2 linked regions of the Tribolium castaneum genome follow. The protein of the gene in region 2 purifies or fractionates together with the protein of the main gene of each other region. This does not show direct contact. Links are inferred from orthologs where the notes say so. Each region holds a gene or a part of one and is shown on either strand. Other genes may lie near its edges. The genes, in order: Drp1 and E3 ubiquitin-protein ligase MARCHF5.

Region 1 (11,721 bases), on a different chromosome or scaffold from region 2:
TTTTTTCATTTTTGCCTCTCTGTGGTAAAAATAAATAAATAAATATGGGTATGGTGGTAATGTCATCACCCAAGTGTCAGAGTTTTCAGGTCGCATCGACAGCCTCTGACCAGACCTAACGGCCACTAATAGTGAACGGGACCGCGTCTTCTTCAAAAGACGAGTTAGTTGCGATGTTTTTGGCATGACATTATCCAGTCACCCTTCCAAGGAATGACCGGGGACAGTGTTGTTTAATTATGCAACTAACCCTTAGTGGCATTCAATGATAACTCCCTGTTGCAAAATTACGAAAATGCTAACATCGCATTTTACCGATTTTTTTTAATAAGGTTGATAAAATGTATTTTTTAGTTCTATATTTCTATAGTTTTGAAACAGAAAGTACATATTTCAAATCAGTGTAAAACAAGCTCAGCGCCACTTTTTGTGAATTAATGACAAATCTCATACAATTTATTAGACCAAAAATTGAAATTACACCCACGTTGTCATAATTTTTGTTTTCATAGCCACCACTTATTAAAAATTAGGTATAAGACAGGGTGATTCAAAAGTGCAGACACACTCTCGAATGGTGATAAACTGATAAAAGATGTTCAATTAAGCATAAAAATGAAGTCACTTTTTTTTCAAGCAACTTAATTTTTAATTAAAATTTTTTAATTTGTTTTCCTTAGCAACGGTATCGACTTTTGTTTCTTATGACGTTGAGTTTAATTTATTGTCGAATTTGCAAGTTTTTTAATTGTTTCGTACATCATAAGACATTAACTAGTGTTTTTTTTTCAACAGGTATCTGTTGCCAGAGGTGTCGTTTGTACTAACTAAAGTCAAAAAACATGATCTGAAACACCAAAAAATTAAAAGAAAAATTTAACTTTAAAGAACATTATCTTGTGAAAATAGGCTAATAGAATTTTTTGCCATAGGAACCTTCAATTCAGTTTGATGTCCTTTGACCTTTGACAGATGTCCTTTAACAGATTGTACGACACTTTTGAATCACCCGTATTGAATCATATGGTACAAAGAATAAAGAATAAAGAAATAAACTACAGGTTCTGATAATTTTGACAGGCAAAACATGTAAAATTTTCAGAAATATTAGAAGGAGCTAATCTTGGAGGTAGACAGTTTAGCATGATCCAGCGCTTACAGGAGTCGCACTCTACCCAATCTGTTGTCACATTTAAATTTAATTGCCCACAAATCAAACATCTATTTTCCATATCATCTGACATTTCTAATAACAAATTTCTTAAAATGATTCGAAATTCTTCTGGTTCATAACACGAATACAAATCTGGATTTTCCTCTTTTATAAATTTTTCTGCAAATAATAAAACATAAACACCGCAGTCGTAAGCATTTTTTTGAACAGGATGTTTAAAAATATTACATCTCCAATGCGTAAAAGAAAATCGCCTTGGTGCTCTAATTCCTAATAAAAATTTTTTTAAGTATGTTTCAGTTTGATTAAGGTTGCTTATTTTGAGTGGGTTAATGAAACTAAATGTTTTTTTATTAAAGTCTATTATCACAAAGCACCAATGGTTTTGATTTATTAACAAAGGCAACAACCAAATTCCTTCTAGTGTGTGAGTAAGTTTTGGACAAGTGTTTTCAAAAATTGATAATGTTTCATGCGTTGTGATGATACGAACAGTGTCTTTATGTTGATTTTTTGTATATAAAACATGAAGACTTATGTCCATAAGAAAATTTGATAGCCACATTTTTCTAAAATTTTTAAAATTTCCCAAAGTCTCGAAATCTTCAAGGTAAAGTTCTTTCATTGGATGAGCATTAGAATAATATCCTACAACGTAATTGACGCCTGAGTTTCCCAATGTATAATACCTGTCATCTCGAATTAAATTGTTATTATAAAAATCTACGTTTTTAATTTCTTTTACTTTGGAATTGAATTTTGAACGGGAAGGATGAATTTCGTTAATTGGTTTTTCAAAATATGACTTTTTCTTTTCGGATTTAATTTTTTTGTTCCAGTTTTCTTCTGATTCTAATCCTAAATCAATATTTTTTGTTTGTATCCGCTTTTTCTTTATGATAGCACATTGATTTTTATCTATATTAAGTGCACATTCTTTTGATTTACTCAAGACAACTTCTCGAACTACTCGAATAAATCTAGTACTTCGAAGTCTTAGTCCAGTTGGCTTCAAAATATTATTTTTCACCTGACAAAACCAATTTTCCACAGGCGCATTGCTAAATCTTCCAATACTATCACGATCACGTAAATTTGGATAAATATTTGACCAAAGAGGTAAAATTGGTAAATATTTTTTTAAAATGAGATCTAAAATCAGAGGATTGTAGAATATATTGATATTATCTGAATCTATTGCACTATTAATCATTTTCTTATCTTGTTCACATATTTTGAAAAAATGTCTATAAAACTTGCTTTTTTGATAAAGTGTATGGGGAATTTCGGTGTCCTCAGTTTCGGTTTCAGTTTCCTCATCTATGTCTTCTAGATCTTTACTATTATTTAATGTATCAAACATTTTGCTTATTACATTGCTTAATTTCCCATCGAGATCTAAAAATTCTTTTGAAGTAATTAAAACCATCTTTTTGAACCACTTCTCCACTTCAGGTAAAGATGTTTTCATAAAAACAGCTGCTATAGAATGTTTGAAAAATTTTTTTTGAGTTTTATTGCTACCGCAAATCTTGTTAATGTCATTTGTTATTAATTTCATAAAATGAGCGCAACATAATTTTAAAGTGATTTTTGGTCGAACAGTCGTTTCTGATGTTATATAATCGTATACAATATTTAAGTATACACTAATATCATCCATTTTATTCCACTGTGTGGTGATGGCGTTAATAAAAGCGAAACTAAAATCGGTAACCACATAAGAAAAAATGGGCCATTTTAGCTGTTTACTTTTAACAATAAATGATTCAAAAGCCTGTAACCATGAACCAATAGAATAACCATCATGTTCGGAAGTTATCATTTCGAAAACAGGACAAACAAGTTCTTTATCTTTGATGTGTACCACTCCAGCGTAATAATAAACACGTTTTTTCGTCTCAGGGGGAGAATGGACGACACTTCCGGTTGCATCTAAATGTAAAACTATAAACCCATTATTTGTTTGAGACAGTGCATGTTTAATAACTTCTAACTGTTCAATACTAAATAAATACACTGTTAGGGGCTCAAAAACGCGATAAATATACTGGCGGTTTTCTCTCGACATTTTTATAAGATCGAAAAATTCGTCTGTATCTCTATCTAATTTAGAAAGAGTCTGTGACTTGATTTTTTTGTACACATGTTTGGATTTTATATTATCATAATTTCCTGCGCGAATTTGATCCGAGGGAACAAAATTTGTATCCCGAACTCGTGTCATGAATGGAGTCGATGTCTGCAATTTATTTCCTAATAGCTGTCTTTCAAAATTTCTCACAAAAGTTGTCCTTTTTTGGTTATCGTGCCGATAATTTAGTGTATTACTAAAAACGGTTCCAATAATATCATGTTTTTCTGGCGACAATTTAATGATAAACACTTTACAATTTTCATGTGCACAATATGCATAAATTGTAAATTTTTTTCCTTTCTTGTCTGATTGGTGTTTTTTAAAATTAAGAGGACAAATATTATTAACTGTTGCAAATTTCTTCCTCACAGTAATTTGATAGTTAATTAAAGAATTATTAAATTTAATGTCATTAAATTGTTCATAACTTAGTGAAAAAGTGCCTTCTTTAATATTACAATTTTTAAAAGACATTGGTTTTAAACGTTTTATTGATATATCATTTTGTGAATTTTCTGGCAAAAGAGTAAATTTTGATTTATTAGGTTGGTTATATAAATTTTTTATTGAATTTGGAACGTCATTCACTGAAAAATCGGTAATATGGAAATCATTGTAATTATCGAAAGAAGAAAACTGATTGGTGGATTCTGGTGAGTTAATTGAAAAATCATTTTTTTCAGTAGTGTAATGATTATCAAAAAAAACGGGACTATTAGAAATGATTTTGGATTCGACGATTTTTTTATGGAAAAACTGTTTTATGTTTCCTTCGTTCCGCGACAAAATTTTCTTAATACGATTTTTACAATCGTTTAACCTTCGTTTGCTAGGTTTAGAAAGGCGGAACATGTAAATAGAAGATTCATGAATAATCCGATCACTTAAAGGTAGATTTGCGATGTATGTAAGTGATGTATTAGGAGCCAAACTTTTGATAAAATCGGCTAATTCCTTGAAATCAAAATTCTTGGGCATTTTTTAAAGTAGACAACAAAAATAATAATAAAAAACTAAAAACTAAAAATTCTAAAACTAAAAAAACCCAAAAATTCAAAAACTAAAAAATCTAAAAATTCTAAAACTAACGACTATAAATGCTGAAAACAAAACCAATAAACTAAAAACAAAAGAAAAGATTCCGAAAAGCAAAAAGGTTCTTACAAAATTAATTCGCGCAAAAGCTCAGCAAAATACACCTGCTATCACCAAAGCCATGCAATAACTGCAAATTCAGATGAATCGAGAATCGGTATAACTCGTTATAGCAGACAGAGATAAGGTAGCAGACGATTACTCTAAATTCTAAGAAAATACCGCGTAGCCGGGAAGCCGGGATGATTCTAAGTAGACCAATAAAATGTTTTCCAAATAATCGGTATACCCTTTTTACCTTTTTATCTCGTAAAAATCGGCTCATTAACACGACTTCAATAAACTAATTTTCGTTTTAAGGTACCTACGAGAAAAGCAGTTCTTCAAAAATTTATAATTTATCAAAATGCACGAATTGTGATTTTATTATTATTACCCAGATACTTATCACAAGGTCGCTGCCAAGAAAGAGATAAGCATTATAATTATTATAAAAAATAATAATTACAAATACAGAATTTCGGACGAATTGTAATTTGATTGACATAAAAGTGCAAAACTGGCTTCAACTGGCTTTTTTATGTCTTACAAAATTAACTTTCCATTTTTGTCGACGCATTTAACCCATTCCACATGAAAGCCCATTAAATACTCTACCTTTCCTGAAAATTTCATCCCTCTAAAAGTTTGGGAAGACATCCAACCCTTAGTTTGAAATATGTCAACATTTTATTAATAATATTAAATATTTTTTTAGTACTATTTCTTTTTGTCGACGCATTTAACCCATTCCACATGAAAGCCCATTAAATACTCTACCTTTCCTTAAAATTTCATCCCTCTAAAAGTTTGGGAAGACATCCAACCCTTAGTTTGAAATATGTCAACATTTTATTAATAATATTAAATATTTTTTTCTAGTACTATTTCTTTTTGTCGACGCATTTAACCCATTCCACATGAAAGCCCATTAAATACTCTACCTTTCCTGAAAATTTCATCCCTCTAAAAGTTTGGGAAGACATCCAACCCTTAGTTTGAAATATGTCAACATTTTATTAATAATATTAAATATTTTTTTCTAGTACTATTTCTTTTTGTCGACGCATTTAACCCATTCCACATGAAAGCCCATTAAATACTCTACCTTTCCTGAAAATTTCAACCCTCTAAAAGTTTAAGAAGACATCTAACCCTTAGTTTGAAATATGTCAACATTTTATTAATAATATTAAATATTTTTTTTAGTACTATTTCTTTTTGTCGACGCATTTAACCCATTCCACATGAAAGCCCATTAAATACTCTACCTTTCCTGAAAATTTCAACCCTCTAAAAGTTTGGGAAGACATCCAACCCTTAGTTTGAAATATGTCAACATTTTATTAATAATATTAAATATTTTTTTCTAGTACTATTTCTTTTTGTCGACGCATTTAACCCATTCCACATGAAAGCCCATTAAATACCTACCTTTCTTGAAAATTTCAATCCTCTAAAAGTTTGGGAAGACATCTAACCCTCTGTTTGAATTAGTATGTCGTTCTATTAACTTTTTTTTTCAAATAATGTTTTTGAAGAAGAAATTAACGAATAATTATCTTATTTAGGTGGAATCTGCCCCCTAAATAATTGGGTAGCATGCCCTCCTCGTTTTTGTTTTGCCTTTATTAGGCGGTTTCACCTTTTTGTGTCAACTAGTAAACTATCTACATCCCCCATTGCTTTCAAAGATACAACAAGTTTGAAATTGCATTTACTTTATTTTTTTTAATAACAATACACTTGAATTTTAAAAGAAAATGAGTAAATAATTTATTTTCTTATAATTTGTGAGAAACGTAGCAACGTCGCAAAGTGCTGAAAACGCACATCCGTGATTTGACTGGTCCGCTGGAAATTTCATGGTGCTAGCTCTTTCCAAAGTGCTATCGTCACCGTAATACTGCGAGCTAGTTTTTAAACTATCAATCTTAAACAGACTGGTAGCTATACCAGCATCGTTTAAAATCACACAACACTCAATATAAAACTGGGCGTTAATTTTAATAAACGAATTGCTCTGAACGTTAAATCCACAACTGAAAAGCGGACAATCAGATTTTTTGTGTCAGTTTAGTTTTGGTGACATTGTTGGTTGTTTTACTGGTATTCTGTTGGTATCCTCACACTTATTTCAAATTAAATTTTAGCGGCACAGTGTGGCGTTATATTCAAATACTTACGTGTTATCGAAATATTTAAGAGAATTGAACCAAGTTTAAAACAAAAAATGTTGCAAAAAAACTACTTTCAAAATAGTCATGTATTTTATTACTCAATCAATGTTAACACTCCGCAAATTGTATGGGGAGAAACTTTAAAAAATGTTAAAAAAGTAATCCAGTTTTGAGAAAAAAGTCGCTTGCAAAAAATTATCAAACGATTTAATTATTGTAATTATCCTTAATGGAATCTTAATGGAATTCGTTAAACTGGTAAAAACTGCGTTCTTCTTATCTCAAATATATTGTTTATTGACGAGGTATCAGCTGCTAAACTTGTGAAAGAATAAAATGTCTGCCAATTTTCTAAAGAATTTTAAATTATCAAAAACAACAAAAAATATTGTGAGGTATGGTTCAAAAAGTGCCACAAATGTGGCTTATAAAACTAAGGTTGCTGAACAAATAAATCAAATCAAAAACCAAGCTCTTTTAGGAGGTGGGCTAAATAAAATCGATGAACAACATAAGAAGGTCAGTGCTTTTATATTGTAATAACAGGTCCATAATTTCTTGTTTTAAAGAATCTCCTAATATTTATTTGCATGCGATTACTGTTCAATTTCCGTTGAGTTGCGTACTTACCTCGGCATTAGAGCAAAAAATTAAAAAAATTACAATGGCTTGAGAGCAGTGTCCACGTAACAATTTAATCATTTTATAGGGAAAACTAACAGCACGCGAGCGTATTCACTTATTTCTTGACGACAACAGTTTTGTGGAATACGATATGTTTGTAGAACACACTTGCACAAATTTTGGAATGGACAAACAAAAAGTAACACAGGAAAAACTGCAACAGCTTTTCATTTATTAACATAGTTTCCAGGCGATTCTGTAGTTACAGGTCATGGCTTGGTTAATGGACGCCCAGTATACATATTTAGTCAAAACTTTACCGTGTTTGGTGGAAGTCTTTCGAGTGTCCATGCGAGGAAAATTTGTAAAATGATGGACAAAGCAATAGTAAACGGTGCCCCAATTATTGGACTGAATGACTGCGGAGGCGCGCGTATACAAGAAGGCGTAGAATCGTTATCTGGATATGCTGATATATTCCAGAGAAATGTTTTGGCCTCCGGAGTTGTTCCCCAGGTTAATTAATTACGTTGTATTTAAGATAATTATTTTTTTGTCAGATATCACTAATTATGGGTCCATGTGCTGGAGGCGCTGTTTATTCACCGGCGCTCACAGATTTTGTGTTTATGGTAGAAGACACTTCGTTTCTGTTTGTTACAGGCCCTGATGTGATCAAAGTAAATTGTTTAAACAAAGTATTTTTTATACGCTTTGATATCATTTCTAGTCAGTGAATAACGAAGAAGTCACTAGAGAGGAATTAGGTGGTGCCCGAACACATACAACAATATCGGGAAATGCACATAAGTCATTTAAAAATGATATTGACGCTCTCTTGCAATTAAGACATTTTTTAACTTATCTACCTCAGTCACGTAATCACCCGGCACCTATTAGGATTTGCGACGATCGAAGGTTAATACAATTATTTAATCACTTAATCATATTACGTGATAAATGTTGCAATAAGATTATCTTGATGTAAACCGGAAATAAATTACGAAAAATTAGCGTTCTAGATAAAAATGTTTACAAAAAAATGTCGATACCTTAGTAAGGCCGTAGTATTTTACTTTAAATTATTTTAAATTCTAGTGACTTAGATGTCCTGGCTCTGGACTCAATAATTCCGCTAGAACCTAGCGCTCCCTATGACATGCTGGACATAATCCACTGCATAGTGGACGAAAGAGAATTTTTTGAGATAATGCCAAATTATGCTAAAAATATTGTGGTTGGATTTGCACGAATGAATGGCAGATCTGTCGGCTTCGTTGGAAATCAACCAAAAGTCGCCGCTGGTAAATTGGTAGTTCATAAAATGTGGTTTTTACCATAAAAGTAACACTTTATGAACTAATTTTAATTAGTACTTAATACAGTACAAATGAAGTAAATAACTTCAGGTTGTTTGGACATTAACGCGTCCGTAAAAGCGGCGCGATTTGTGCGTTTCTGTGATGCGTTCAATTTGCCGATTATTACTTTAGTTGACGTCCCAGGCTTTCTGCCAGGAATTTCTCAGGAGCATGCGGGAATTATCAGACACGGAGCGAAGTTATTGTACGCTTATGCTGAAGCTACAGTTCCCAAACTCACCGTGATTGTCAGAAAAGTTTGTAACAAATGTTTAGTTAACAGTTGACAAGAAATATGTGTTAGGCTTATGGTGGAGCTTATGATGTAATGTCATCCAAACATTTGAGAGGAGACGTTAATTATGCTTGGCCATCAGCTGAAATTGCCGTGATGGGAGCTAAGGGCGCTGTATCAATTTTGCACCGAAATGAAAGCGATGTTACAGAATATGTTAATGAATATACAGAAATGTTCAACAGCCCTATACCTGCTGCCCAAAAAGGTACGTTTACAGCTGTAAAAAACGAACATTTTTTTATTAACAGACCGCTCAATTAATTAATGTTTTCAGGCTTTATCGATGACATTATTGAGCCACGTACAACTAGATGGCGACTTTGCAGAGACTTGGAAGTCCAAGCAACAAAAAAACTAGTGAACCCTCCAAAAAAGCACGGCAATATGCCTTTATAACTAGTCTATTATAATTTTATATTTTCTAGTTTAATTTTAACAACAGATGCTCATCTTTGTAACTTGTACAAAATTATTTTAACGTTCTAAAACAATAAAAATAAACTCATCTTTATGGAAGTCTTACACCCCAAACATTTGAACGTAATTAAATTATGAAAAAAAAAAAAAATTAAAGTCAAGGAGGGGTAGGTAGATTCTCAAATTAGTTATAAAATGAATTGCTGTTTATTTCATATTTAAATTGCTTAATTATTTTATACTTTGTATCATTTGACACCCAACGAAGCAAGATATTCTTTTGCCTTACTTTTGATGTCTTCTACCGATTCGGGACTCCCATACTGTTCTTCAAAACTAATGAACTTTTGGAACAGCACTTTCATAGTCTTCATGGCAAACTTTTGACTAATGGCTCTTTCAAGAGTTTTCCTAAAAAAATAAATACGAAAAAATCCTACAGATACGTTACATTGGAGATTTCTAATTTACCTTGCGGCCTCAAAGTTCTTTTTTCGTACCAACTGGTCAACGTAAATAATCCAAATATTGACCTTACTTGGGTAAGTATCCAAAATTGTTTCGAAATTAGCAACCGCTTGATCTAACTCACCCAACTGAAATTCCATTATTCCGAATTTCACAATGAGATCAAATTCTGAAAATAAGGTACAGTAACATTACTTTAACACAGCGTAACGAACTTACGTCGTTTTTTGTCCAGAATTGACTTCAATGCCGATTCTTTCACATTTCGGGCCTCTTTGAATTGCCCCAAAGAATAATAAATTCGGCTTATTTCCAACCACATTTTAGTGTTTTGTTTTTCCTTGGCCCTAACTTTCTTAATTTTTTCCTCCATTTCTTGCAACTTCCCAGATGTTGCAAGCATTTGTATAACGTTCAAATATATTTCCAACGAGTCGTTACATCTAACTGCCTCTTCGAAAGTTTTATCAAACGATTCCTAACACAAGAAACAGCTTAAAATCGTGTCATGTGTTTGATTTACTCACCTTGGTTCCGTACATGTTTTCTAGATTAAGTAAAGCGATCCAAACATTATACTTCTCTTTAACTAGCGTCATATTTATTGTATCCAGAGCGCGTTTTCCTACAGCTCTAGCCTTGTCCAATTCAGTTGTCTAAAAATTAAAATTTGGTCTATTGTAAAGTATGTAGAGTATCTAAAAAAATTACCGCGATATGCATAGACATGTACTGCAACCATAATTTCGACGAATTAGGATTGGCTAGTAACAGTCGATCAAACTGTTCTGCGCTCTGTGGTGGAATCGTTGAATCAGCTAATTCATTTTCTATTTTGGAAATCCTTTCTTCTTCTTTCTTTGCTATTTCTGCTCTTTCTGCTGGCGTAAGTTTTTTCTTCTTCTTACTTTGGTCAATCTCCTGTAACAATGTATTGTTAAGAGTATTTCACTCTCTTTGTTTTTACAAACCTCTTCTTCTTCTTCAGAAGATTCTTCTTTCAAATTATTATCTTCAGTCGAATAAAATGACTGCGCGCCGGATAAAACAGATTCCTTTGGTGTTTCTGCATTGCTTGACTGATCAAGAGTTGTAATTTTTGGTTCTGAAAATTGATATGTTTCTAAATATTTACCCCAACAATAAACTGGTAACGTACTAGCACTATCCTCGTCCTCGCTATCGGAGATATTTTCTTTAGATTCTTCATTTTGCTTATCCACAATTTCTTCATCATTCAGAGCTTCTTCTTCTTCTTCACTTACAATTTCCTCATCATTCAGAGCTTCTTCCTCACTCACAATTTCCTCATCACTAAGAGCTTCTTCCTCACTCACAATTTCTTCATCACTCAGAGCTTCTTCGTCACTCACAATTTCTTCATCGCTCAGAGCTTCTTCTTCAATCACAATTTCTTCATCACTGTCCTCTTCCACATCATTTTCCTCTTCCTGGATGCATTTCTCTTTTTCAACAGTCTTTTCAACTTTCTTCCCTTTTTGCAGTTTTTTTGCTTGTAGTTTAGTTTCTTTTTTTAAAGACAATACGAATCTTTTCAACAGCCCTACGATTTTATTTCCCGCATTTCTGAAATTCACAAAAGAAGCGTGATCTACGCATAAATGCAACGTGATACAAACCTATCGACAACAACTTTTATTTGTTTTCCACAAACAGCATTTTCAAAGAGGGGTAAATATACCAACTGCTTGTTGAATTGAGTATGTTTCAAAACCCCCAATACGTAAAACTTTGTAATTAACAATACTTTTGCCACAGAAGACGAGCCAAAAGGTTTCGCAATCACACCATCTTGTACCTTGTTGATTTTTTCTTTAAGAGCGTTGTTCGAACAAATATAGACGTAGTTTTCGTCAAAATTGTAATCCAAAACAACGCCCTCCACAACCGAACCAATTTTCGCATTT
Region 2 (10,922 bases):
ACTGATTAAAAAAATACACGACGTCTACGAGTATATACTAGGCATTTTTTTAATCAAAATAAAGATATTTTTGCAGCCCCTAAAATTCCGCCCATTTAGCCCATACGTAAATATCTCCCACTGTAGGTACTGTTTTTTTACAATATTTGAATTTTTAAAATTCTTTGCCTAAAATTAGGCATAGTGATACCTTTATTAAAAAAAACTTCGGTGGACCTGAGTAAATGTTTTGCATTCTCGAGAGTGATTACTGATTAAAATACGAAGTCCTAGAGATTTGAAAAGTGCATAAAAATCTCGGATCGACTTTGGAAAGAAATGATAGTTCTGTTCCTCGATATTTATTATTAATCGAGCCGATAACAAATCGCGCGCACTTTATTTATAATTTATAATATTTACAATCCCAACAACGCGATAACACTATCTCCTCTAACATCCAATTCACACTCGGTCCGCTTAGAAAAATAGTTAACTCAATTCTGACGTAGTGGGGATTCTCACGACCTCGTCTAAACTCCCAGTCAACAATGAACAAAGCGCTTCAATGACCGCTCTCGCCGACTCCGCGCGGGCCTACGCCCGCCAGACCCTCAACGAGACGCCCGAGACCCTCGCCGCAGGCCTCGCCGCCCTCCGCCTCTGGATCTCCTCCAACCCCCAGCTGCACGTCAACCCCGACGAGCGCTCCCTGCTGGCCTTCCTGCGCGCCTGCAAGTTCGACCTGGAGCGCACCAAGGGCAAGCTCTCCGACTACTACACCATGCGTCGGGACATCCCCGAGTGGTACTCCAACCGCGACCCCCTCCACCCCCAGATCCGGGCCCTGACGAGGCTCGGCGTCTTCGTGCCTCTGCGGAAGCACCACGACAACCAACTCGTCGTGATAATCCGGACCGCAGCGCACGACCCGCGAGTGCATCGCCAGGACGACGTGTTCAAAGCGGGAAATATGATTCTGGACGTGGCGACCAGAGACGACCATCTGTGCCAGATCTACGGGATTGTGGCGATTTTTGACATGGAGGGAGTGGGGTTCTGGCATGGCCGGCAGATGACCCCCGGGATTATCAAAAAGGCGGTGAGGTCGTGGCAGAATTACCACTGCAGGCCGAAGAAGTTGGAGTTTGTGAATGCGCCGATTTATATTAATGTGGTTTTGAGCATTTTTAAGGGGTTTATGAGTGAGAAGTTGAAGGGGAGGGTTAGGGTGCATTATGGGGGGCGGGAGGACGTGCTGAAGATTGTGCCCAAGGAGGTTCTGCCCAAGGAGTATGGAGGGGAGGACGGCACGTTGGAGGAGGTGATTGGGCATTGGGTGGCCCGGCTGGAGGAGGAGAAGGAGTGGTTTGCCGAGGACGAAAAATATAAAGCCGAATAGTTTTTAGCTAATTTACAAAGTGGTTATTGTGATAAAATAAATAAAACGCTTTTTCTCTCAGTCTTTTAGTTTCTTTATTACTCAAATTCCGTACTTATCTCCAGTAAAAAAAATTATAACTCATTTCAAGGAATCCCCTGTGGAAATCGTGGGAATCCCCGATGTTGACGCTGTTTTTGTCTGCGCATGCGCCACTTTGGGGAATCCCACATTGAAAGGTACGTGAATCCCCTGATGTTGTTGCTATTTTTACATCATGAGGTCATGGCTATTTTTGGATCATGACGTCATCCTGAGAATTCTAATTCTAATGTGATGATTATCAATTTGTGATGAAATAAAACTCTTTTTTCAGTCTTTCAGTGTTTTATTATTATATTCAAGTAGTACTTTTGCGCCCATATTTATACTGCAACTTCAACTGTCCAATTTTTGTGGCATTGGTGACTCCGGGGATCCACTCGATCAAGAAGGGATTATTCGTGTTGTCACTCTCGTCAACCGTGGTTTGTCCAACATTTAGGAAAAAAATAAAACTTGACTGACAACTGATGTTTGCATCAACATCGTACTCAATGTAACCCTTTTGATTGTCATGAATAAATCTCTTGGAAATTTTCAACTTGACCTAAAACACGCATTCATTTTGCCAACTCTAGAAATAAAAAATACGCACATCTGGAGTATCAAATATCTCTTTGAGATGCAAAATGTTCATAATTCGGTAGTTAAAGGCAGGAAAAACTTCGTTTTCCCGATAGATACTTGGAATTCGTTTAGTAAATTCTTGAAAAAATGCCTAAAAAAATTATCGGAACAAGTTTAATAAAAGATTTCGTTGCCCAAACCTCAGGGATGCAAAAAACCAAAGTGTTTAAATTGCCGTAATTCTCGAAGTGCATGGTTTGGTTTATGGATTCAGTCACATAAGACAACCATTCGATAAACCCCCACGAAATTCCCCCACTTGGGGCGACTTGTTCCACACTTTCCAGCACTTTGATTTCAACCGGAAACACATTAGGGACCAGTTTTTTGAATTTTGGACGTTTCGTCACTCGCTCAACCACCTTCAGTTTCGGCACCCTGTCAGGTTTAGGCGTGCTTTTAACACTTTCAACTTGTGGCCCTTCGGAGCCGTTCTCCAATTCGTAATTAATGAAATGACTAAACTCTTGCGCACATTTCGGGTCGCTGGCAAGGGCACAAATGCACGCATAATAGTGCACACATTTGAGTCGGACATTGCTCGCCTTGCTTATAATCCCTGAAACTGGTCCAAAAATCACCGAAACGTCCCACTGACTCGCAAAAGCTACCCATAAATTCGGTACAACTGCAGTAATACTTGTCGTAAATCTCGCGGCCTTTCGTGCACCCGAAGGTAAAGTGGAGGTACCCCAGGGGGTGTTTGGGGCTCACTTGGCACTTGACCGCCATCACGGTCCGCGAGACTCTCTGCACCAGAGGCCCCTCTTTCTCCGTGGCCAACTGCCACAGCTTCGCTTTAATTTCTTTCGAAACCTTCAACGAGGCCAAAACCTCCTTTTGGACCTCAATGGGGGCTGCCATGCTCTGGCTCTTAATCGCCGCGTCGATGTGGACGCACAGCAGCGCGGTCTCGCTGTGCTCCAGCTCATGGCACTTGAGAATCGAGTCGTCGAACAGCCTCTGGCACGAATCAACGAAACACAGGGCGTCCTGTTCGGGGTTCAGCAGCGGCAGCTGGACGAAGCCCCGGTGGTCGGGCCCCCGGTCGCGCACCCGCACCGAGTACACCTGGCGCACGATCCCGACGAGGCGCACGGCGTCCAGACTCAACTTGCGCTTGTCGGCGTAGTCTTTGAACACGGCGTCGCAGTGCTTGTTCTTGCAGATCATGCCCCGGGTGCCGTTGTAGATGCCGCACTTGGGGCATTTTTTTATGCCCCGTTTCGTGGGCCGGCCCAAATCGGCGAAGGGTTTGGCCGGAGAGGAGCACGCAGGGAGGAAGGTGTAAATGGACTGGGTCGCATTCATAGCACTGAGGGGCTATAAATAGACGCAAGCCAAGAAAATTTGGGGCAACGGGCGGGGCCGAAAGCAAACAAAGTCTGGCTTTTTGACAATCATCAATTTATTTATAACACATGTTACAAGTTTATCCTATGGTTTATGTTTTTTTTTTAAATTTGAATTTTTGATTTTGAGAGAGGGCGCTTCGGTCGTTTTGAAATTTAAACATTATTTAAATTACAAAATTATGTACTGACTCGCATAAAAACACAAGCAATTTTTCATTTCTTTATTAAATAACACGCAAGGTTTTTGTAACAACTAATTCTTCGCCCAAAATTTGTGGATCAATATTGTTTTGACAGATCGCATCCTGCGTTTAGCCGCGTCCAGCTGATTTCTGTCACTTTGAATTTCCAATCAATCGATAGCCCCCGTGTTTATTTCCAGTTTTCGCTCCTTAGAACCGTCCAAACATTGTTTCCCTTGACCTGATGCTGATAAAAATGCTAACGAGTCAAATCGGCACTGTTTTGAAACAAGCAGTCACCACCTTCACCAACAAAGAGCTGTTCTTCCAAAACATGGAGATCCTCAAAGCCCTTTTGGACAAAACCACCGCCGAGGACGTGAACCTGCACCCCCAGTTCATGACAGAGGCCCTGTGGCAGCGCCCCAACAAGGCCCCAGTGACCTACATTGACATCTACGAGGATTATAACCTCACAATCGGCATTTTCATTCTCAAACCCGATATGAAGCTGCCCCTGCACAACCACCCCCAGATGCACGGGCTCATTAAGGTGGTCGGGGGGAAACTCAAAGTCACCAGTTACTCGCTAAACACTGAAAAGACGCGGCAAGTGGACGGGAAGGCCCCCCCAGGGTCGAAGTTCCTAACAGCCGAAAAATGCGCCGAGAATTTACTAGAAACCCACAGTGAGTGTTGTGTGCTTGAACCCGAAGTGCGGAATTTACACGAGATTGAGAGTGTGGGGGGCCCAGCGGCGTTCATTGACATTTTGGCGCCCCCTTACGAGACTGTTATTCCGGGGAATGGGGCACGCAAGTGCTCCTATTTCCGGGTCTTGAGGGAGGTGGCCCCCAGTGTGTTCAGAATGCAGGAAATCACCTCGCCTAGTTGGTACTGGACTGACTCGTTTCCCTACACAGGACCGGACTTGTCCTAGCGAAGGGCTTAATCTAATTTCTGTTATCTAGTCTCTTTAGCTTAGGACTTGCCAGTGTATAATTCCGTTCTTGTGATAAGATAACGCATATTAAGTTTAAAATTTGTCTAAAAATGTTTTATTCAACAGAACTGCTTTTTTAATAAATCTGAAGTCTTGGTTACTTGCAAAAATATTTCGTTTAACAAGTGATCGAGTGACCCGTGCCGTCACGGGTCACTTGATCGAAATTTATCAATTCAAGTCAAATAAACAAGGAATGCTCAACTAATTAACCTATAAAAAATATTTGTCCTATTAATTAATTTAATCAGAATTTCTGTTATGATGTAAATAAGTAGAAATATTGGCTTCAGTGTAGTCTAAAATCTTGCGTTGGCATTGCCGGATGTACTGTTGTTGTTTATGATAAATCCTTAAAAATCCCTTAACTGTGATAAAAGTAATTCCACCTAAAATCGTTCGATGAAAATTCGATTTCACTGAACTATAAAATAATTTTCCGAATAAATTCGCTATCGTAGGCATGAGTAAAGCCCCGCATAAAATTCGCGTCGCTGAGACAGGGCTGCTGACTGGAGGCAGGTCATTATCGACCGTTGTATCACTCTGGAGGACATCACCCCTAAAAACATACGCATTTTTTTCTAAACAAAGTGACCTGTGACAAAAAAAATGCCAACACCAATCATTGCCAACTTCATTTCAGTCATAGGCCACCTGATTTTTTTCTAAACGAAGTGACCTGTGACTTTTAAATAAAGTTGGCAACACCGATTATTTATGCATAGGCCACTTGATTAAGTAAAAAATATGCACCTGAACGGCAGTACGTTGTGAATAATGGGGATTTTGGGGCAATGCCGTCTCATGAACTTCAAAACGGCGTCTTCCCAGCAGATCAGGCGCCCCAAAATCAGGGCTACCGGGATAGAGGGAAGCCCCAAAAGGAGCACAAGGGGGTCAGCCTGCTCCATCAAATCAATCCCTTCCTTGTGTCCTATGACCTGCATCACAGTTATGGCCCCATACGTGACCCCCGTCCAGTAAATCGCACTGGCCGCAATCCCCGCTGCGAGAAACAACGAGCCCCGGAAAATAACACCATCTACCGTGTCTAGCAACAAGACAAACAGCCCCATATTCGGGAAGACTATGATATACTCGGTCTGGCATTGGGGGCACACCACTTTGCCCCCATGGCCCGACTTCTCCTTCTCATCGACCCAGCGTTTCAGACACGATTGGTGCACCTGGAAGCGGGGTTAGAGGCGTTTTGCGGGTCAGGGGGCACGTACCCATTTGGTGGTGCCGCGGCATTTGCACGGCTGGACCCACAGTGCGTCCAAGTCTTCGTCTTCGGTGGCAAAGCAGACCCAGCAGCATTTTCGCGAATCGCGCGGTTTGAGCTGGATGGGGGGCGCGGTGTCAGTGGCGCTTTCGAATGAGTCGTGGGGGTCCATGGGGCTTATATGGGGAGAGGCATGTTGAGGAGAGTGGATTTCCAAAATACGAAAATTTAACGAATGTCAAAAAAGTGTCAAAAAGCGGGACAGGTGCGCCAGATTGTGACAGTTAAAGTCACTAAAAGGGGGCTAAAATGAGGCTGGGGGGCACTGACAACGCAATTGGGGCATTTAATCACTTTTGTGCCTGTGGTACCGCAGAATTTGAGGCCCAAATCGTTCCGTTCATTTTTTTTTACTTTAGAGGTAACCTCACTTTTTATATTTAGGGAACCTAATTTGTAATTGGACAAAAATTCAAACATTTTTTTTTTCAATTGGAATGGATAAATGAAACTCAAATGTATATATAGTAATTTTTATTGTTTAAACGAAATAAAAACTCACTTTAAAAAACAATACTTTTATTTACAAAATTCTAAAGGGGGCTAAAAGCCTCACTTGCGTTTCTTCTTCCTGTCTAAACTGTTCAATTCGCTTTGCTGGATCGAAGCTTCGGCATAAATTCGTTTAACTTTTTCCTTGCGCTCATTATCACTACGGAAAATAATGTCATAACTGGAAAATAATTTTTTTGCCTACCTTTGTATGCGTTGATGAATTTTGACACGTCCCAGAAACGCCTTATCTCTCCGTATTTCACGCAATGCACCCTTCGTTTCTTTCTTAAGTTTATGTAACAATTTGTCACGCTCGGCTTTTTCCCTTGATTGAATTTTACGTTTTTTACCATCAAATCTACAATCATCAACTAACGAAAAACAAAAAAAAAATAATGATAACTCACACTTCCACAATTTTAGGTTCATATAAGCGTAGCGCTTTCGGTCGTTTTGCTGCCAAAACAATGTATTCTAATTTTCGCTCAACTTTGCGATTTTTTAATTGTTGTGAAACGCTTTCAAACAAATCGGCGACCTTTTTCGGGTAATTTCGCGTCGGTAGTAACTCCAAATACGCTCGAATATCGTTAAAAATCTCAACATTTGAGGGCAGAGAAACTAGATTATTGTCAAAGTCTTGAACTAGCCTTAAAACAGTATAAATTGCTCTGATTTTGAAAGAATCGTTAATTTCGTCCCTTTCTAAATCAGAAGCTTCCATTTTGAAATCACAATCCTCGCAAGACTTTTCAACAAGAACTAGAGAACTTGTCGTGGGCTTGAAGGGAGGATTGACTTTGATTAGTTTCACCCCACACTTGGGGATCGCCATATGCAAGATCCCTCCGAGATAATTAATCGCAGTCGGTAAAACCCGCTTCGATAGTGAAGTATACTAAAAATCGGTGGTTTAAACACAGTCCCACCAACCCAAAAACTCACCTCTAGAACCAAAGTCACTAAAAAAATCCCGTACGCGATATCTTTGCCACTTTTTATTTTACACTTATTCAAAATTTGTTCAATAAAAACAAAACACGGGGTCACAACCTGATGCCGAAAATCGGACGTTGTGAACAACAAACTGACCAGCTTGAAAAAAACCAACAACTCCAAGCCGGGAAAATCCTTCGGTCGTTTTTTAAACTCGTCGTGTTTTTCCTTAATCACTTCAAGCATCGAACTGTGGGTATTTTCTTTATTTAGCTGAGCCAAATCAAAAATGTGCGGAGCCAAACTTTTGTAAATTTCGAACAAACGGGCAGCGCTTTTTTCCGACGCACAATCGTTCAAATACTGCAATAAATAGACAAACAGTGTGCCAAGTCCGTTTTTGTTTTTTTCGGCGAGACTTGGGTGATTGCACTTGACCATTCTTTCAAGAATCGTGGCTTGTTGGCGACTCGATTTGTCGTCGAGGAGTTGCTGGAGGGCCTCGTAGGAGTCAGGCAGTGCGAACGTGAACGGCAGGTCGGCCGACGTTTCGTCGGTTTTTGCAACAACATCAGTCTTTGTGGCCTTGGCTTCGGTTTCCTCGTCACTTTCGTCGCTCGTTTCGGCCTTAAGATCGGCCAAATCATCATCGGACTGTTCTTCCTCCTCTTCTTCACACTCTTCTTCTTCGTCACTTTCTTCCCCACCAACAGTTTTCCCGTTTATCTCAGCCCCAATTTCCACATTTGCCTCCCCCTCCGTGTTGTAGCTGAGCATGTACTCAGGATCCGCCTCGTAAACATCATCGTCTAAATCGTCAGCACTGCGGTGCTTCTGAGTCTTGGGCTCAAACCCCCGCATTCGCTCCCGCCGCTTCTCCTCCAACTCCTCCAACCGCTGTTTTTCCTCCTGAGCCACCTCGTCCTCACTCTTCAACCGGTCGGAGACCGTCCCGCGCGCCTCAAACCTCAACTCACGCATGACCTTATCGTAGTCGTCGACGGCCCCCTTGTCGGGCTCCCCCTTCTGGGCCCTGCTCACCAGCGGCAGCAAGTCCTTCCACTCCGTGTCCAATTTCTCAGTGAGCTCGAGCGTCGCCTCCTTGGTGCGTTGCTTCTCAGCTTTGCGTTTCTTCGACTCGGCAATCAACTCGTCGATCAGTTCTCGGTGCGTCTTCGCCCCTTCTTTGCCCGTTTTGCGCAAAACGCCGCCCCCGAAGTGCGCGTCCCCCACAAACGCTGAGTCCAGCTTACCCGACTTGTCCTCATCCGAGTCCTCGTTATCCGACCTCGGGTCGTCGAATTTCTCTATTTCGGCAAGAGTTTGCCCCTTGTGGGTCAGAACTTCGTCGTCGGCCAGGTTAAAAATCGACTTTTTGTGCGCTTTTTTCCGAAGGGCGGTGAACCGGGCCATCAGCTTGTCTTCAGAGGTCAGGTCGCGGCTCCGCTCGCCGATCCTCCGGTCCGTAAACTTGTTCGATTTGTTTTGCAGTTTGTACTCCTGAAGGAGGGTTTCTTTGCGTTTTTTGAGCGCTTTCGCGCGTGAGACTCCCGGCAGCCCCCGATCGTTTTTGTTTTTCTGGCCCAGGACGGTCATTTTTTGCTTGTTGATGTGGATTTCGAACGGGTTGGGGGCGTTTTTTTCGGGTTTTTTGCGCGGCTTCATGGTGACAAAACACGTGTTTTTGTGAGGTTATGCTTTGACAACTAGTGACAAGTGGCCGTGTTGCCGGAAATCGCTCGAGTGACTTTTTTTAATAAAGTGGCCAAAGTTGTGATTTTTTCTTCGGTAATTTGTGTGGTGATACCAGGAGTTTGGGTGCGGTTTTGGTGATTATTTTAGTGGCCAATTGGGCGTAAAAACGGTCTTTAGGCCGCGTTAAATCTGGCAATGGTGGCGCCGGTAAGGCAGTTCGCTGTTTTAGTCGAGAATGGACGAAGTGGACAGGTGATGAAGATTGTCAAAATAGCAATATTTTGACGTTTTTTTGTAAAATTCCGATTGATTTGACATCAGGCTTATCGATTAGAACACAAATGGTATCTAAATTATTTGTTTTCCGATCTACACTAGACATAAATCACTGTGCCTTCACTCCAAAACCATTTCTTTGACCCTGTTGTTGAAGGTGAGAGAGAAATAAGCGATAGAGCGTGATTTGGAAAAAGCGTCACTTTCCGCCCATCCGGCCTGGTCCCGCCGCCCCCGTGCGCGCCCGCCCTAACCCGACCCCCTTTTGCAGGTGATCACCCCGACGATGGAGCCCCGGAAATAGCCCCGTCCGCCCCCTCACAACTATGCTAAACTCATGACATAGCCCTGAATTCACCGTTTGTCTACTCAGGTTAGCCAAAACCGTTAAAATGAGCGAAAGCGATGCGAAATGGGCTTGTGAGTACTGTACATACGAGAACTACCCCTCGTCCATCAAGTGCACCATGTGCCGGGGGCCCAAGCCCTTCGTCAGCGAGGACATCTACCGGCTGCACGGCAGCGACGAGAAGCTGACGGCCGCGGGGCCCGCGAAGCGGAAGTGGACCTGTGAGGGCTGCTCTTTTGCCAATCCGTTGCGGGAGCTGGTTTGCCAACAGTGCGGGGCTTCCCAGCAAGTCTCCGCCAATAATTTGCACGAGCATATACAGCCACTCAAGATCTCGTCGCAGCATTCCGATCTGGCGCAGAGTCTCGCGCGCTCGAGGAACAACAGCCCCCCGACCATCGCCAACTTGGAGAACTGTCGCAGGACGCAAGGGAAGTGGATCTGTGTGGTGAGTATACTGATCCACTTCTTAACGTTTTTTAAAACCAAATTCCTACACCTTTACGTTTCTATTAAATCATACAAGTTTCGCATTATTATATTTTACAATAATTTTTGAGGCAAAAGTCGGACCCAAAAAACCGGTTTGTTTTTGTTTAAGTATCACAACTCGTTAATCAGAAATGAAAAACAAAAAATGAGTCGCCTTGAGTGGTATTTGGAGATAGATACCCATCAAGAAGTATGGCGATTTAATTAATTAATTAGTTAAAAATGAGATTAAGCACAGGATTAAGATACTTAAAGATTTATGTATTTTTAAGTGTCACACAGATTTGATTTAATAGCTGTATAAAAAACAGAAAAACTGGGTGAATTTTGGTTGTATATTTCACATTTTAATTTTTATTTAACAGCCAATTTTTAATAAATATTGTTCGTTTAATTTCGTATCGGTACACGTTCTCTTAACATATAATTTTTTAATTATGGCCTGATTTCACCTGACCGGAATAATAAATAACGTTTTTATTGTTTGTTTGCGTTTTTCCTTTCCTTAAAATACATTTTGACTTAGAAAGAAATACGTTAAGAACCAAAATTTGGACGAAATTATTTTTATTGCTATAAAGACATTTCTTTATAATCTTCAAGTTATTTGTCTAAAGTAGATCAAGGTCACAAGATGTACGTTGTGACCAAAAAAATTGCACATAGCCGCATATTTGTTATCCTTTATTTCGTTGTAATTTATTCGCAATCACATAGAATTGGTGACGATGTATATTTTATATTAATAGGCTTATTATAAGT

What was found.
Region 1: the proteins of E3 ubiquitin-protein ligase MARCHF5 (region 2) and Drp1 purify together in Homo sapiens (affinity purification with western blotting, with the first as the bait; 3 studies listed by BioGRID). This does not show direct contact. The link is inferred for Tribolium castaneum from reciprocal best matches to the Homo sapiens genes MARCHF5 and DNM1L.

The regions. Positions count from the first base shown.
Region 1 is NC_087398.1:8,855,386-8,867,106, forward strand, and holds the start of Drp1 (dynamin-1-like protein), read right to left. Parts: upstream 6,548-11,721; 5' UTR 6,350-6,547; intron 1-6,349. Other genes in the region: propionyl-CoA carboxylase beta chain, mitochondrial, read left to right, coding at 6,962-7,144, 7,335-7,448, 7,493-7,765, 7,810-7,929, 7,980-8,167, 8,348-8,553, 8,659-8,867, 8,915-9,113 and 1 more; protein RRP5 homolog, read right to left, coding at 9,574-9,736, 9,797-9,962, 10,013-10,271, 10,321-10,449, 10,505-10,714, 10,765-10,898, 10,953-11,380, 11,434-11,721. UniProt on the Homo sapiens protein: Functions in mitochondrial and peroxisomal division.
Region 2 is NC_087395.1:24,410,355-24,421,276, reverse strand, and holds E3 ubiquitin-protein ligase MARCHF5, read right to left. Parts: upstream 6,269-10,922; 5' UTR 6,030-6,268; coding exon 5,865-6,029; intron 5,820-5,864; coding exon 5,386-5,819; intron 5,192-5,385; coding exon 4,873-5,191; 3' UTR 4,669-4,872; downstream 1-4,668. Other genes in the region: retinol-binding protein pinta, read left to right, coding at 548-1,381; uncharacterized protein C2orf42 homolog, read right to left, coding at 1,761-2,009, 2,058-2,180, 2,230-2,654, 2,701-3,400; 2-aminoethanethiol dioxygenase, read left to right, coding at 3,871-4,566; l(3)07882 (nucleolar protein 14 homolog), read right to left, coding at 6,470-6,569, 6,615-6,770, 6,820-7,310, 7,358-9,013; trbd (ubiquitin thioesterase trabid), read left to right, coding at 9,712-10,116. UniProt on the Homo sapiens protein: Mitochondrial E3 ubiquitin-protein ligase that plays a crucial role in the control of mitochondrial morphology by acting as a positive regulator of mitochondrial fission and as an important regulator of immune response.